Diceros bicornis minor: one gene and its partner. The protein of the gene in region 1 purifies or fractionates together with the protein of each later gene. This does not show direct contact. Links are inferred from orthologs where the notes say so. Each region holds a gene or a part of one and is shown in the gene's direction. Other genes may lie near its edges.

Region 1 (7,920 bases):
AGGGTATCACAAGCGTCTGCGGCCCCGCCCGCCACAGCCTGCAGCCGCCAGAGGGGGCGGACTCACCAGGATGCGGGCCTGCTCTGGGGTCAGCACGTCGCCCTCTTTGCACACCTCGTAGTCGGACAGCAGGGTCACCACGCCTGCAAAGAAGGGGGCCCCTGAGCAGTTCCTGCTGACAGAGCTTCCTGCCCACTGCCCAGAGCTAGGAGCAAGCTGGCTGGCCCCCCGCACATGCCAGGGCAGCTCAGTCAGACGTGTCCAGCTGCCTGGGAGGGTTTTCAGGGCAGTGACCACCTCCCTCATTGTCCTGCAGTGCTGTGTTCTGGCTCTAAGTCGCTGTCCACTTCCCCCCAGCTATGAGGCGGGCACTCTCGGCCCCATCTTCAAATGAGAGAATGGAGGCTGGGAAAACCCACTCAGCCAGGACGGGGAGGAGGGCCCGTCGGGCTTGGGGGCCTGTGCTCTTGACCTCGAAGCTGGGACCTTTCAGCTCCAGGGACTTCCCCGTACCTCTCCTGAGGGCAGTGGGCAGGCCCAGCTGCCTCAGCTGTGGCTCCATGGAGTGGGGGAACTGCTCCAGGGGCCCTGGGTCCAGGCTCACGGTGAACGCTGCTTTGTTCCCAGCTCGGGCGTAGTCCATCTCTGTGTATTTGGTGAACCACCTGAAGGGAAAGAGAAGTGGAAGGAGGGCAGGTTCCTGACTGGCCCACCCGCCCACCTACAATCAGGCTCCCCGTGGGTCTCGCCTCCCCTCCCCGTCCATCTCAGCTGCTGGCTGGCAGCCAGCCTGGAGCACCGTGCTGGAGAATAACGACTCAGTAAACTGGGTTCTAGGAAGCAGTTTTTCCTTGATGCCTCCACTGTACAAAGCCCCTAGATTATTCCTTCCCTAGAGTCCTCACCAATCTTTCTCTTCCTTACCACTCCTCAAAAACACTTACTCGTTCACTTCCTCCTTAGTGCGATTGGTGAAAAGGAGACCAACTTCACCCCTCAACTTCTTGCTGACCTAGGAAACAAACAGAGGATCAGCTCGGTCACATTAGAGCAGTGGGTCTCACCTGGGGACAATTTTGCACCCCCCTCCCCTCAGGGGACCTCTGGCAACATCGGAGACATTTCTGGTTGTCCCAGCTGGGAGGGGCACTACTCGCTGTGTCTGGAGGTTAAAGGAGAACCGGAGCTTTAAGCCAGGCCTCGCCCTCCCTGATCCCGGCCGGGCCTGATGGCCGGAGAGTGTGTTGTGAGCAGCGGCCTGGCCCCGGCCCCTCCGGAGAGGGCCAGCCTCACCTGGTGCAGGTTGTCTTTGTACTCGTCAGATGGGCTTCGACCCAAGGCCACCATCATCACTTTGTTTTTGCCAAAGAACATCCTACAGAGAAAAGGAGGCCTCCGTGAAGGGGGTGCCCTACCCAGCCCTCCCCTCAGTTAAGTGCTTGCCAGCTCTAGTCCGCGGGGGCCCAAGCCCAGGCCTAGGCTGTTCTGTAGCGGGAGGGGTGGCCAAAGGCTCCCACTTCTTCCATGTGGCCCTACCCGCTCTGTCCCCAGCCCAGGATCTCTTTCATTATTTTCCTGCCACAGACCTGGCATTCACAATATTTTGTCTACCAACCCAGTGTGAGTGTTATGTGAACCCGCCCCCCGTGCTGCCCTGGCTGGAAGTGCAGACGAGGCACGTGCCATGGTCTGAACCAGAGCTGGTGCAGCAAGAGACAACCGGAGTCATCACCTGCACTGTCACAAATCCAGCCCAAGGACAGGTACTCGCCAAAGGGCTCATGCAGCCTGCTCTCGGGTCATTGTGTGCCTCCTGGAGCACATCAGCCATGGGGATAGGTTCTAAGACACGCATCGTTAGGCGATCTCATCATTGTGCGGATATCAGTGTTCTTACACACACCTAGATGGCATAATCGACCTCGCATCTAAGCTATGTGGTACTAATCTTATGGGACTACTGTTATGTATGTGGTCCGTTGTTGACTGAAACATTGTTGGACAGCACGTGACTGTATTGACATTCTAAAACTGACGAGATGTTCCTAAAAGGATCAGACCCCAGGGTGAAGGGAGCCCCTTCTCCTGGAGGGATCACTGATCAGACATCCCTTAAGCAACTATCAAGTCCTGTCCCTCAAGAAGCTCAGTGCAAGACCAGCTTTAATGCTGAAAAAGCGCCCTTCAGTGGGAGTGGCCCTTTGCCCTTATTAAGGTACCAGGTACCCAAGGGTCAATACTTGCCCCTGTGCTTTGAGAGCAGCCTGGCCCCTTCCCCACTCTTCCCACTGCCTGCTCACCGGCTGTGCTTCCAGGCGTTCCGGATGTCCTTCAGCTTGTTGTTCCTCATGTTGGCCACGGAGAAGATGAAAAGGTACTTGTACGTGTCCACACATTTCCGAAGCTGTGGGACAATTCATGGGGCTCTGGAGTTCAAGGGGCAGCACGAGTTGGGCAATACTCTGGCCTCAGATGGGAAAGAATCTGCTCTAGATTCTACAACTGTGGAAGTTGAGAGTTGCAGGCCTCTAATCTAGTTGTCTCCTCCTCACCTCCATTACTGAAGCCAGGATCCCTAAGGATAGGGGCTCCCCTGAGGCCAAGCAGACATGACCTCAAAGGGCAGGGGAAGCTGAGCCATGGGTCAAGATCCCAGTCTTCCCACATTCCTGACTTATCTGTGGCCAACAGTGGAATCCACCACTTCTCTTTGCCTTGTCCATTAACTGCTGACAACCTAAAAATACTCAGCTACGCTAGGAAGGCTCCTGCTAGCTGGAAGCATAGAAAGCCTCCTTATTTACTCATAAGGGGAGGCAGCTCAACGGCCCTTCTCCACCCCCACGTTGCTGGCTGCAGCCACGATGAGGTGGTCTCAAAGACACAATCTGTGCGGGAGGAGATGCTGCTGTCAGCCAGCCTGCAGCCCTGAAGCAGTGCAGACAGCGGGCTGGTGCATTTGCCCACAACTGGTAACTCCCCAGCTTTTTGACATGGAACAGGCTAGCAAATCTCTGTGAGCTTCAGCTACCCAACTGCATAACAGTGATAACGTCACCTCGCATCTACCCAGAGGGATGTGGTGAGGATGGAGTGAACAACACATACGAAATGCTCAGCACCGAGCAGGGCATAGAGTAAGAGCTCAGTGAAAGCTGGAAATCATTGCTGTGGGATGATTGGTGGTGCTGCTACTGGTGGAAAAAGGCCTGCATCGGCAGCTGTTTTTGTTTTTTTTTTAACAGTATGTTTCCCTGACAAACAGCCCTACACCCACCTTTATAAACCAAACACAAGATCCGAAAAAATAAAAAGAATGAGCTATTACCTCTTCGATCAGGTTCTGTTTCAGTTCCAAGCCTTTCTTGGCAGTTTTGGTTAAGGAAACTAATACAAAGAAGAAAAAGGAGATGATGAAAAACAAATCTGGATGTCCTGGAGACTCCTTTTCTTCTCCCTGGCTGCTCAGCTGGACCGAGCCACTCTGAGGAAGGGCAGCAAGGCTGATGCAGCCACTACTGGCACACAAGGCTATTCCTGGGGTCCTCAGAGTGCCTACTCTCTAGCATTCCTGAGCCTGGAGACCCTTTGATATATTTTCTGTTGCTTAGACAAACTAGGTGCTCCTCAGCCCTCTTAGGCTAACCTAAAAACCCCTACTGAAGTGTGGGGGCAGGGCTTGTTCCTGCTCTTGGAGCGCTGTAAGCGGCAGACCTAGACTTGGAACACCATTCCCCGAAGGTAACTCCATGGGTTGCTTATTCTCTTTCTTCAGGTTTCTGTTCATTTGTCACCTCATCAGAGAGACCTTTTCTGGCTACGTTACACAAAATAATATCACCTCTTTCTGTTACTTTTTCTCCATGGGACTCACGACTGTCTGACTTGATGAGACTTTTGGTATTTGGGGGAGATATGTATCCCATGACTAAAACGTTAAGTGCGATGAGTGCTCTAGGCCTTTCTTGTTGTAACTGCTATATCCTCCAACGCCTAGAGAGTTCCAGGCCCCCTAAATATTCGTTGAGTGAATGTGCTGGAGAGCCAGGGTGGGAGAAGCCAAAATTGTAAAGATGGTCAGGAATGGTTTCTTAGAAGGTGCCCTATGAACTGAGAACCGAGAAAGAACCAGCCATGTGAAGGTCAGAGCATAAAGGCACGCCAGACAGAGAGAACTGCAAGTAACAAAGGGCAGGGAATAAGCCTGTGCTGAACGAAAGGAAAGGCGGCCAGGGTGGCGGGAGCGCAGAGCTCAGAGAGTGAAATTGAGGTGGGAGGGGTGGGCCAAAGCGAGATGGGGCGCAGCCTGCGTGTTCAGAGGCTGTTTGTCGGCCCAGTCGGCCTTGGAAGAGCTCTTAAGGAGCTCTCCGATCCCTTGACCCCACCACGCTCCAGCCCTCTCCGATGCTCCCGCCGCTCCGACGCCCCCATCCGAGCTCGCAGCGAGCCCGCGGAGCTCCTCGCCGAGGTCCCGGCGTCCCATTCCGTCCTCTCGAAGCACCCCACCGCAGCTGACAGCCAGCCGGCGGCACTCCCCACCGAGTCCCAAAGCCCCCTTCGCCCACCTTTCTTATCGCGCTTAGATTTGGGCATCTCGTTGCAGGCACGTGCGGCGGAAGACGGTGCTGCCTGTTAGGACCCCGGCGGCGCGGGGAACTCTGGGATGGCCCTCGGGGGCTGCCCTCGCGCGTGCCTGACTCAATCTGCGCTACGGCCCCCTCCTCCTGCTGGCCACCGCCTGCGCTCTTCCCCGCGTCTCCAGGGCGATTTCTCGCCCGTCCGGGGTCCTCCGAGTCCTGAGCGCCCCACCCGGGGCTTCGCGTGCCGTCCCAACTCTATGGTTCCGCGGAGGCGGGGCCTGCGGCGCGGTGCATGCCGGGCCGGCGGCGGGCGGGACCGGCCTCCCATCATGGCGGCGGCGGCGGCTTCCCGGTTCTGGTTCTGGGCTGCCCTGCTTGTGCCTGCGGCCGCGGTCTACGAAGACCAAGTGGGCAAGTTTGATTGGTGCGTACGTGTGGGGCCTCTTCGGGAAATATGTGGCTATTTTCCCAGCACCTGTCTTCTCTCGGCTAAAGGGAGGGAGGTTATCGTTATCATGTGGCAGAATTGGCTGCGTAACTTGCGGAGCCCAGTGCAGAATGAAAATGTGGGATCTCTCGTTCAAAAATTAAGAGTTTTAAGGTGGCGACAGCACAGCATGCAACCAAGTGTTGGGGGCGCTTCTAAGCCGGTCCTTGTGTAACTATACAGGTCGCAAGCCGATGCAGCCGGCCCTGCTGTTCAGACACGCTCGGGGTTCTGGTCAGAGGTCACTGTTCCCTCCTCCCCCGCCGGGCCCCGCTTCTGTGGCCGTCAGGTTTCTGATCCACTGTGTGTCACAAGTCGACAGCCTGCAGTGAACTCTCATTCCTCCTCGAATTGGCATCTCTTGGGCGTGTGAACAGGGGCTTGGGTTTTATTGAGTCCTAAACTGAGTCCTCTTTCTCCTCCCTTCCAGCTCAGGACAGGGCCGTCCAATACTCACATCAGCCCCTAAGTGCCATTCATTCATTCACTCACTCATTCACCCACTCACTCACTCACCCATCCCTTCCTTAAGTCCCCGGAGTTGGCTTGCTTTTGTTTGAATCTCAATTTTGTGACGTAAAGGTTGTGTGATCTTGGGAAGAGACTTAACCACTCTGTGCCTGGTTCTTTATCTGTAAGATGGGTTTACAAATAGCTCATTACTTCCTACAGTAGCTGTAAGGATGAATGAGATAATTCCTTTAAATTACTTAGCACAATACCTGGCTCCTTGAGTGCAGTCAGTAAATGTTGCTCATTATTACTAATCAGGGAACACGATCCTTCAGAGCCCAGCTCAGCTATCTTCTCCTCTCTGAAGTCTTTTGTGTCTCAGACAAATTGATTGATGTATTTGTTGAGTGCCTGTGGTGGGACAGATGTTCAGATGCTGTGGATACAGAGATGGGAAGGAGCTCAGTCTAGCGGGGCAGATATATAAGTATGTGATATAAGACGGTGTAACAAATGCAACGTAAGTCACGTTTTTAATGATGTGGGAAAATGTGTAGTATGATATGTATATATTACACGTATGCACAATATGTGATATTCCAATTTAACAGAATATTAGGTATATGCAATTTACAAATTGAGAAATAAATAGAAGGAAATACACCAAAACATTAAAAAGTTTATGGTCGTGGTATTTTAGGCATTTTTCATTTTATTTTTTATACTTTTATGTATTTTTCACATTTTCTACAGCGAGCAGGCATTACTTTTATAGTCCAGATAAAGGCAGCACTTAGTTTAAAAGAGAGCATGGGATTTAGAGTCAGAAGGTCTTAGTTTTGTGGTCTAGTTCTGACAGAGATTAGTTGATGTCAGTAGACATTGATTTACTTACCTGTAAAATGAGAGTAATAATGTTTGTTCTACATACTTCAGATTGTTCAGTGCGTACAACGAAAAAGTATGTGAAAATGCAGGTAGAAACTGTCAAATGTCATATAAGCCTGTCTCTCTACCGGGCTTAGTCTTTTCTTTTTTTGAAAAAGTAGAGCAAACAACATCACAACAAGAGAAATTCAGTGTAAACGTCACGTGTGTTTAATTAGCTAGTGGTTGCCGTACTTCTTAATTAAAAAGAATGTGCAAGCACCTCCTGTGTATTTGATAGTATCCATGCAAAGCTAGTATGTTCCATTTATGCTTAGGTAGGAGTGTTGAAAGTGATGGGATATATTCCAAGGAAAATATGAACAATGAGTCAAATGGATCCTGAACATGGTGTGAGCTAGAAAAGGCTGTAGAGAACAAAAGGCCTGACCCGGTCTCTGGAGTTTTGTTGGGAAATTGGCATCATTTTTTCTCCAGAGGTCGTGAAAGTAGAAGGGAAAGTTGGATTGTATGCTCGTTGACAACAGGGTTTGTGTCTCTTCTGTCGCATGTAACGTGAGTGTCTAGTCCCACTATTATCGAATACAGAGAGGACTGTAATGTTTGTTCTAGTGGGATTTAGGCCACGTGCTCTCTTGGGTGTCACTTATCTCGAGCAAAATATGTGCTTGCATTTAGAAGGAAGACTGTCGCGTTTCTTATCTGCTAGGGGGTATTCTCTCTTCTTGTTCCCTTTGCTTCTGACTACATTGCATAGAAATCTTGCTTTTGGTCAGATCTGTTTGTTAACAAACATTTCTCATACGCTCTAAGATAGGTATGATGGTGATAACCTCATGTATTTGTGCAGTTGCCTTTTTCCAAAGTATTTTCTGCAGTGATGGTTTGGGCCCCTTACATTTATTTCCCTGTTCTCTCTCCCCAGGAGACAGCAGTATGTTGGGAAGCTCAAGTTTGCCTCCTTGGAGTTTTCCCCTGGATCCAAGAAGTTGGTTGTGGCCACAGAGAAAAATGTGATTGCAGCATTGAATTCTCGGACCGGGGAGATCTGTGAGTGAACTGTGCAGACGTTAGCTCGAGATGGAATGGCTGACGTAGTGGATCCAGAAGGCCTGTGGCTTGTGACGTCTGCCTGGCTGATTCCCAAATTAGGGATGAGTCGGCCAAAAGAGGGATCTCTTACTGGATTCTGATACCTTTTTTTTTAATGTCTTGTCATCTTTGAATACTTAAGATACTCCTATAACTGGCCTTTGTAGTTTATTCCGTAAGCCCAGGTCTTGAGTGTTCTTGAATAAGATATTGCTGCAAAAAACGCATTGATCAGTTTTGCAGTAAAGATTGGAATATCCTCCGTAAATTACTTACACTGCTTTTATGGATGTTTTCGGGCACTAAAATCATGGAAATGTAATTTGTCACTATTTTTCTGGTGAATTGTATGGATTTTGTTAATTTTGTCATTGTTTATTTATGTTTGATGGTAGTGGGTGGGCAGAGGAAGTACAGGGA
Region 2 (7,981 bases), on another chromosome or scaffold:
AGAAACTTCCTCTTTTTAATACTTTAATTTCATCTTCATGATCTGGACCATCCTTTTCTTTTCACATAATTACCCAAGTCTTTCTTAAAGTATTGTTCCTCCCTCTTCACTATATCCTCACTAGTGGATCTTATCATCAGGAGGGGCCCCCTTCTGTGCTCCTGCAGCATCTTCTGCTTGGATTACCCCCTCCAGCCTGTAATTAATTACTTCCAGGTATTGTTCCCCGTGTGCACGCAGAGCCCATCACAAGAGTCTGGGGTCACGTGACCCAGCCTTCACTGTCAGTAACAGCCTCACATTTACACTTTTCATTTTTACAGAAGCTAATTTCACTTTTGGTTTACAATTCAGGACAGGGGTTTGTATCAGTCAGAAAATGGAACCCACTCTAGGTCTTTCAACAGAAAGGTTCTAATCGGGAAATTGGTTAAACAGGTGCATTAGTTACCTATAGCCGTGTAAAAAGTTACCCTAGAACTTAGTGGCTTAAAGCAACAATAATCATTATCTTTCATGGTTTCTGTAGGTCTGGAATTTGGGAGCAGCTTGGCTGAGCGATTCTGATACAGGGTCTCTCAGGGGCTTGCAGTCAAGATATCGGCAGGGGCTGCAGTCATCTGAAGGCTTGACCCGGGCTGGAGGAGCCACTTCCACGACGTTGGTGGGAGGCCTGAGTTTCTCTCTATGCGCGCCTCTCCCAGAGCTGCTCAAGTGTCCTCAAGACATGACGGCTGGCTTCCCCCAGAGGAAGCTGTTCAAGAGAGCAAGGTAGAAGCAACAATGCCTTTTATGACCTACCTCCAGAAGTCACACAGCATCTCATCTGCCACATTCTCAGTCAGAAGTGAGTCACTAAACCAATTCTGCCTCCCAGTCTGGGAGCGGGGAATTAGGCTCCACCTTTTGAAGGGAGGAGGGTCAAGAATTTGTGGATATATTTGTTTTGGTGAGGAAGATTGGCCCTGAGCTAACATCTGTTGCCAATCTTCCTCTTTTTTTTCATGAAGAAGATTAACCCTGAGATAAGATCTGTGCCAATCTTCCTCTATTTTGTATGTGGGTCACTGCCACAGCATCGCTGAAGAATGGTGTGGGTCCGGGCCTGGGATCTGAACCTGTGAACCCAGGCCGCCGAAGCAGAGCATGCCCAACTTAACCACTACGCCACGGGGCTGGCTCCTGGATATATTTTGAAACCAAACACCAGGTGATGATAGAGCTGAAGATCCAAACAAGGGATGGTGAGACAACTTACAGATTAACGAGAGCAGAAAGACCCCAACCCACTTAGGACTGGAGGAAAGAAGGGAGGAAGTGGGGTTACCGGATCCCAGGAGCCAGGACCACCCAGTGGAAACTGGAACTTCAGAGGAGCTGCAGGTTTGAAGACAGCCGCTAACGGCGACGCTTCCCAAAGCAGAGAGGGAGACAAACACTCTAGCTCCTTCCTTCCTCTCCCCTCTAGTCTTCCATCAGTGCCTGCAACTGGCAGGATCTTCCAGGAAGCAGAGTGCAAGGGAGCCTGGAAAACTTAGTTTCTTGTGATGCAGAGGTGAGCAGAGAGGGCTGGGATGGATCTGAGATCAAATGAGTAAAGGACTAGCATGGAGCCCCCCAAAATGGCTGATTTGATTAGATGGTGATATTGTGGTTAAATTTGTCTTGAATTCTGATTATTTTTACATATTAATATTGTTTTCAATAAAATGACATTTTAAAACTGAAAATGAAAAAAAAAAGAATAATGAAAGAAATTTTCCCAGTCTCCTTTAATCTTCCTTAATTTTAAAAGACTTCTTTGGGACCAAAGGGAAGGAGTGTTAATACCCAGACAGCAGAAAGCTGATCTAGCCTTTCTGTGGAAACAGCCTTTTGTTATTCTCTTGACAACTTGCCAGCACTTGAGAACTGACTGATGCAGCTGATCCAAACCCCTCAACAGTTTCTAACCGGGTTTCCTGGTCCCTGCCACACACAACAAGCTTCTGATTCCGAGTAGAAATAATTTATTTTGTCTGCTCTAGATATATACCCAAGAGAATTGGAAATATATGTCCATACAAAAACGTGTGCATGAATGTTCACAGCAACATTCTTCATAATAGCCAAAAAGTGTAAACGACCCAAATGTCCATCAACAGGTGAATGGACAGACAAAACGTGGTCTATCCATATAACACAATATCGTTCAGCCATAACAAGGAATGAAGCACTGACACATCACAACACAGAAGAACCTTGAAAACATGCTCAGTGAAAGAAGCTGGTCACAAAAGGTCACATATTGTAGGATTCCGTTCCAAATCCATAGCGACAGGCAGTAGATTAGCGGTGGCCAGGGGCTGAGGGGAGGAGGAACGGGCAGTGACTGCTAATGGGTATGGGATTTCTTTTTGGCCTGATGAAATGTTTTGGAATTAAGTGACGATGGTTGAACAACTCCGAATATACTAAAAACCACTGAATCGTACACTTGAAAACGGTGAATTTTATGGTACGTGAAAAGGAAGGAAGGAAGGAAGGGAGGACCCATTTTTTGTTGCACTTCACTGACCACTGATCACCACCTGGTGGCTTCTAGACCAGACCCCAGTTGAGAGGTTTGTTCGTCATCCATCAAATATTTATTGAGCACCCCCTATGTGCCAGCTGTTTGTTATGCTGGATGTGTTCATGCACACCATGGCACGTGAGCTCATGCCAATCTGAGGACCACTGAAGTGCACATTTACTGTGGGTGACCTGGCATGTCCTGAGAACCTGTGGTTCTTTGTCTTCAGATCCTGAAATAATGTTGAAAGACGCCTGGTGAGTAATTATAACAACGATGCTAGAAAGAAAAACCTGTATAAAGAAGGAACGAAACCAAGTAGTTGGTAGTAATTATTTTACAGTACCGTGATTAGAGTTACCTTTGTCTCCTTTCTCACTTTCAGATAGCACAGTTAATTACTTTATAATATAAAAAATACATTTACAGAAGACTTCGGGCTGCATCTTTGGTTTGGCCACCACTGTGTTTTCAAAAATTGTATTTAGATACAGCATCTATGCTCCAGTTTGCCACAGTCCTCCCCACTCCCTATTGCCTTAAGCTGGTGCCATCTCTCAATCTTATAAGCTGCTTGATTCCTGAAGGCACTTGATTTTGGGACCCCTGATTTATATAATAAACCCCCCCATATACAATTCATTGTATTCCACTGAGATGCTAAATGTCCACATTTTAAATCCCTGATAAGTGGAGTTAGAACATTATTTAATCAGTTTGAAAATTAATATTTAATTTCCAGAGAAAAATAGAATTGTTCCTGGCGCTTTTCTACAGAGTTGGGTTGCTTGGGAAGTCAAAAAACCTGTATCCATTAGTTCAATTCAGTTTAATAGAAAACCTCTGAAGGCATTACAAGCAGGAAGAGATTTCGTGCACAGAAAAGGGGCTTCTGAATGGGTCGGTGAGGCCGGAGGAGCAGGCTCCAGGCTGGGCCTCCCTCCAGCGACGGCTCCCAGAATAACACTACAGAACTGACCTGCCAGCAGAAGCAAGAACTCTGCCACAGTCTGGAGGGTGGGGAATCAGGGGACCATTACTAGAACTCTCGAGTTCAATAACACATCATAGCCAGGAAGCTTCCATCACTGTAGCTACACCTGTTTCTTGACACCTGAAGCAGGCAAACTGGATCTTGGGCCACTACTGCCCCCTATTGCCTGCTGAGGTTTGAAGAAATAACCCCTCAAATTTGCACTACACACGCACATACATGGTGTCATCCGATCCTCACCATAACTTGACCAGATGCAAGGAATGTGGTGTCATCCCCGTTTTACAGATAAGGAAAGTGAAGCTCAGAGAGGTGATGGAACATAATTAAGGTCACACAGTGCAGAACTGGAGTAACAACAGGTCTCCTCCTCCCCAGGCCAGTTCAATGAACTTGACATGTCAACTAACACAGCCTTTTGTGAGGTCTTTTGTGGCTCTATGGTAGGACCTGAGAGCACAGCACATAATATGCCAAGTGCCTCATGAGTGGCACAGACTGGTAAATAACTATAACTCAGTAGGCACAAATCTGCCTTGTAAGCACAGAGGAAGGGGCTAGTATTTGGCAGAAGAAGGTCTAGGAACATTTCAGAGAAAAGGCAACATTTGAATAGGGTTTTGAGGGATAAGTAGGAGTGTACCAGGAGGCAAAGAGCGGAAAAAAATTGTCCTAGTAGCTGGCAAGAGCTAAGGGAATGGGAGGTGGCCCCAAGACTTTGCGGAGCTGAGAGAATTCTAATTTTGGAGGATGTAGACAAGGTAAAATTTTTTTGGTAGTTGTATCACATACGCACAGTAAAATAAGGTGCATTCAGCTTAAGTACACAGCTTCTTGATTTTTTAAAAAAGCATCTGTAAACACTCAAGTACCCATCATGTAGGGGAAGATATAAAACATTTCCAACATCCCAGGCGGTTCCCTCGTGCCCCTTTTCAGCCTATACCCGCCTCCGTCCTTTCCCCATTGGTTTTTGCTGGGTGAGGGGAGGCCAGCATAAAACCTCAAAGCCTTTGGCTGCAGCCCCCATCTCAAATTCCCTCCACTCCTATTGCTGCCGCCAAATCTTTCGCCATCTTTTTTGGACAATCCTAAGAGGGCACTGCACCGAGCGCGGTAGTTTTCTTGATAGCGCCGCTTTCTTGTGTGGTCCACGTGAAATTTAGGTTGCGCGCGAAAAGGGAGCGAGGTGAGGCCGACGGCTTTTGGCCCTTCGGAGCCACCGTCCAGGGGCCGCGCGGAGGCGCCATGTCCCTCGGCGGCCGCCGTGCGTCCGTTACGTGGCAGCTGCCGGCGCCCGCCAATCCACGGCGCCCGCATCAGCCCCCTCGGGTGGCGCAGCCGGAAGGGGCGGAGCGGAGGCGGCGGCGGCTGAGGAGGCAGCGGTGGCGGCGGCGGCGGCGGCGGCTCTGGAGGCCGCACTCTGGGTCCTGGCTTCGGCCCCAGCCGCACCATGGTGACGCTCGCTGAGCTGCTGGTGCTCCTGGCCGCCCTCCTGGCCACGGCCTCGGGCTACTTCGTCAGCATCGACGCGCACGCCGAGGAGTGCTTCTTCGAGCGGGTCACCTCGGGCACCAAGATGGGCCTCATCTTCGAGGTGGCCGAGGGCGGCTTCCTGGACATCGACGTGGAGGTGCGGGCGCCCTGCCCGCGGCCGAGGCGGGGTCGCGCGGGGCGCGCCCGGGGTCTGCGGGGGAGCGGGGCGTGGGGGCGGCTGTCCGCGTTCTGGGAGGGGCCCGGGCCCCGCCTGGGCGACCCCCAACGGCCCTGTCGCCGCGGCCGGCCAGGATTCCGGGCGCGGGCTCCCCTCGGGCTGCGGAGCCTGGGCTTAGTCGCTTTGGGTTCCCACCCTGAACGGCGGGTCCCCCGGCACGTCTCGCCGAGCTTTGTCGACCGGGCGCCGCGTGTCAGCTCCGGGCCCAGAAGGCGCCTCCCGGGGGTTAGCTGGTGGCAGGACTCGGTACGCCCGGCAGCCGCGTTCCTTCGTGTTACGGGCTAATGTTGGAACGTGGCAGGGAAACGTCTGAAAAAGTAAATCGGAAGCTATGGAATGCTCGCAGACGTTCGCGTTGTGTTTTTCATTGTTTTTCATAGAAACGTCCTGAATGTTGGACTCGTTTTTACACAAACCTCCAGATATCTCTTTTAGCCATCTCTGTAGGAGAGAGGTGGAGTTGGGTCCTGCATTTTTAGGAGGGATGAGTGCAGTGAAGGATCTGGAGCGAACAGGAAATTATTTTAAGAAACCAGCCGTCCCTGAATTTCCTCCTGTTTTTTTTTTTAAACCAAGAGAATGATTCGCCTCTAATATTTTTTAGGAAACCAGATGTAATTAATATTTAAATTCATCTGTTAGCATGATTAATTGGGTTTAAGAGTTCCATTTGACAGTGAACATCAACACAGTTGGGCACAAATTACACAATACAAGTGAAGTCCAGGAATAAGGGGATAATGGGAGGAGTGACTGTTAAAGTTAGCTAAGACGTTGGAGATCAACTGTTCCAGTCTTAAGTTTTACAGGTGGTAGGGGCTTTATAAAAGAACTAACTCCAGCACCCCTAACAGCTGATTTGTAGCAGACTGGGCTGAGAACATGGGTCTCCTAATTTCCAGGCCTTTCCCTTAAGCCTTCAGCGTCTCACATAAAGCACTTTCCTTCACTGATTGGCAGTAATCAGAAAAACCTAGAAATGTAGCTTGCTCAAAATTCTTAGATTTAAAGATATTTCTTTTTTTGATGTTTTGCTATTAACAGCTACACTTTTGCTGGTGGTATTAGGCCACTTGGAGACAATGTTTAAGGTGTGGTTTCTGTTTCTGAGGGGTTTACGTTTAAGTTGGACAAATAAAACAAATGTCAAAGTTGAAAAGTGTTTAGAGAGTCTTGTTTCATAAGTGGGAGAACTGCAGCACAGAGAGGTTACTGTCGATAACTGAAGTGGAGCTAAGTGAAAATTAGATTTTCTTAGCAAATATCCTACTGCCAATAGACATCACTCATGAAGTTTATGATTTTAAGTCCGTGATATCTTATGCATTTCTTTCTTGCCTCCAGATTACAGGGCCTGATAATAAAGGAATTTATAAAGGAGACCGGGAGTCCAGTGGGAAATACACATTTGCTGCTCACATGGACGGAACATACAAGTTTTGTTTTAGCAATAGGATGTCCACCATGACTCCAAAGATAGTGATGTTCACCATTGATATTGGGGAGGCCCCAAAAGGACAAGACATGGAAACAGAAGGTGAGATGAGCATTCAGAAGATTTATATCACATTCCAAGAGTTAATATTAATTTTGTACATTTTTCTCCATCTAAATGGAATGTTTATTTTGGTTTCTTATTCTAGGTTCATTCACTGTCTTTACAACCAAAAACCTTTTGTGTAATATGCTTTTTATTTATTCAAATCTCCTAATTAACAAAAAGAAGTTTCTGGAGGTTCATGTTTGTATTTTAGGTCTTTACAGTTGCCCCTTCTAGCAGCTTTTCATAGTCACTTTGTGCTCTTGTAGGCACGTAGGTTACATGTGTCTTAGGTGGTTTGTTTGGTTAATCCTGGTATATACATCTTTATTTGCTCATTTGTTTACATGACTAGTTTAGCTAAACTTTTTATTTTTTTGTGTGTTTCTATCTTACACTTTTCTTTAGGTGGTGGAGATACCTGGGATGGTATGTGGATTGCCTTTTGACAGCATCCTGTCTTTCTGTATATTTTGTTTGCTGCTGTCTAATTTCTGCTTTCCTTCTTTCTAACCTCAGTTTGTTAGCATGAGAGTGTTTTTTCTCTTAATTAAAAAACCTTATAACTAATTAGAGTTTTGAGTGATTGTTTTTTGGCAGTTTTTATTTGGTTGACAGGAGATATAGGTTAGGTCATTTTAAATTAATAGCATTGGGAACACAGTGATTGACATTTTAGTAGTAACATCATACTTTGTTTTAAATGAATACTGAAGGGTGGAAAGATTCAACTGTAACTGGACAAGTGAAAGTCTTAATTAAACATAGCTAATAGCAAATGGTGCCTTTGACTGCAGGAAGTATTTTGTAGGCTTGTTTTACCATTATTAAAGTTTTCTAACTTGAAACTTGGTTGGATGTAAAATGCAGTTGTGGGAACCGTGTCTAGAATATGGTGACAAAAGTTCTGTCAGCCATATGTTGCAGTTAGATTAATTTTTATTCCTCAACTGACCAGTAATGAACCCTAAATTGATTCTTCTGGATAAATTGCTTACCAGGAGCCAGCAAATTTAGATTTTATTTATTTATTTTTTTTTTGCCACAGCACATGTCAGGATTGTTGGAGACTAGCAGTTCAACACATTTCATAGTATTAACATGATATCACTTGTCTTAGATAGTGAGCAATTAGTAAAGTACTTGCATCATGAAGAAGGTGAAGTGTGTGTTAGGTTT

What was found.
Region 2: the proteins of EMC1 (region 1) and TMED2 purify together in Homo sapiens (affinity purification with mass spectrometry; 3 studies listed by BioGRID and IntAct, with this or other methods). This does not show direct contact. The link is inferred for Diceros bicornis minor from reciprocal best matches to the Homo sapiens genes EMC1 and TMED2.

The regions. Positions count from the first base shown.
Region 1 is NC_080752.1:36,356,543-36,364,462, reverse strand, and holds the start of EMC1 (ER membrane protein complex subunit 1), read left to right. Parts: upstream 1-4,894; 5' UTR 4,895-4,909; coding exon 4,910-5,004; intron 5,005-7,333; coding exon 7,334-7,458; intron 7,459-7,920. Other genes in the region: MRTO4 (mRNA turnover protein 4 homolog), read right to left, coding at 67-143, 514-665, 945-1,012, 1,294-1,375, 2,301-2,404, 3,329-3,387, 4,566-4,593. UniProt on the Homo sapiens protein: Part of the endoplasmic reticulum membrane protein complex (EMC) that enables the energy-independent insertion into endoplasmic reticulum membranes of newly synthesized membrane proteins.
Region 2 is NC_080774.1:6,891,394-6,899,374, reverse strand, and holds the start of TMED2 (transmembrane emp24 domain-containing protein 2), read left to right. Parts: upstream 1-4,926; 5' UTR 4,927-5,001; coding exon 5,002-5,181; intron 5,182-6,606; coding exon 6,607-6,799; intron 6,800-7,981. UniProt on the Homo sapiens protein: Involved in vesicular protein trafficking. Mainly functions in the early secretory pathway but also in post-Golgi membranes.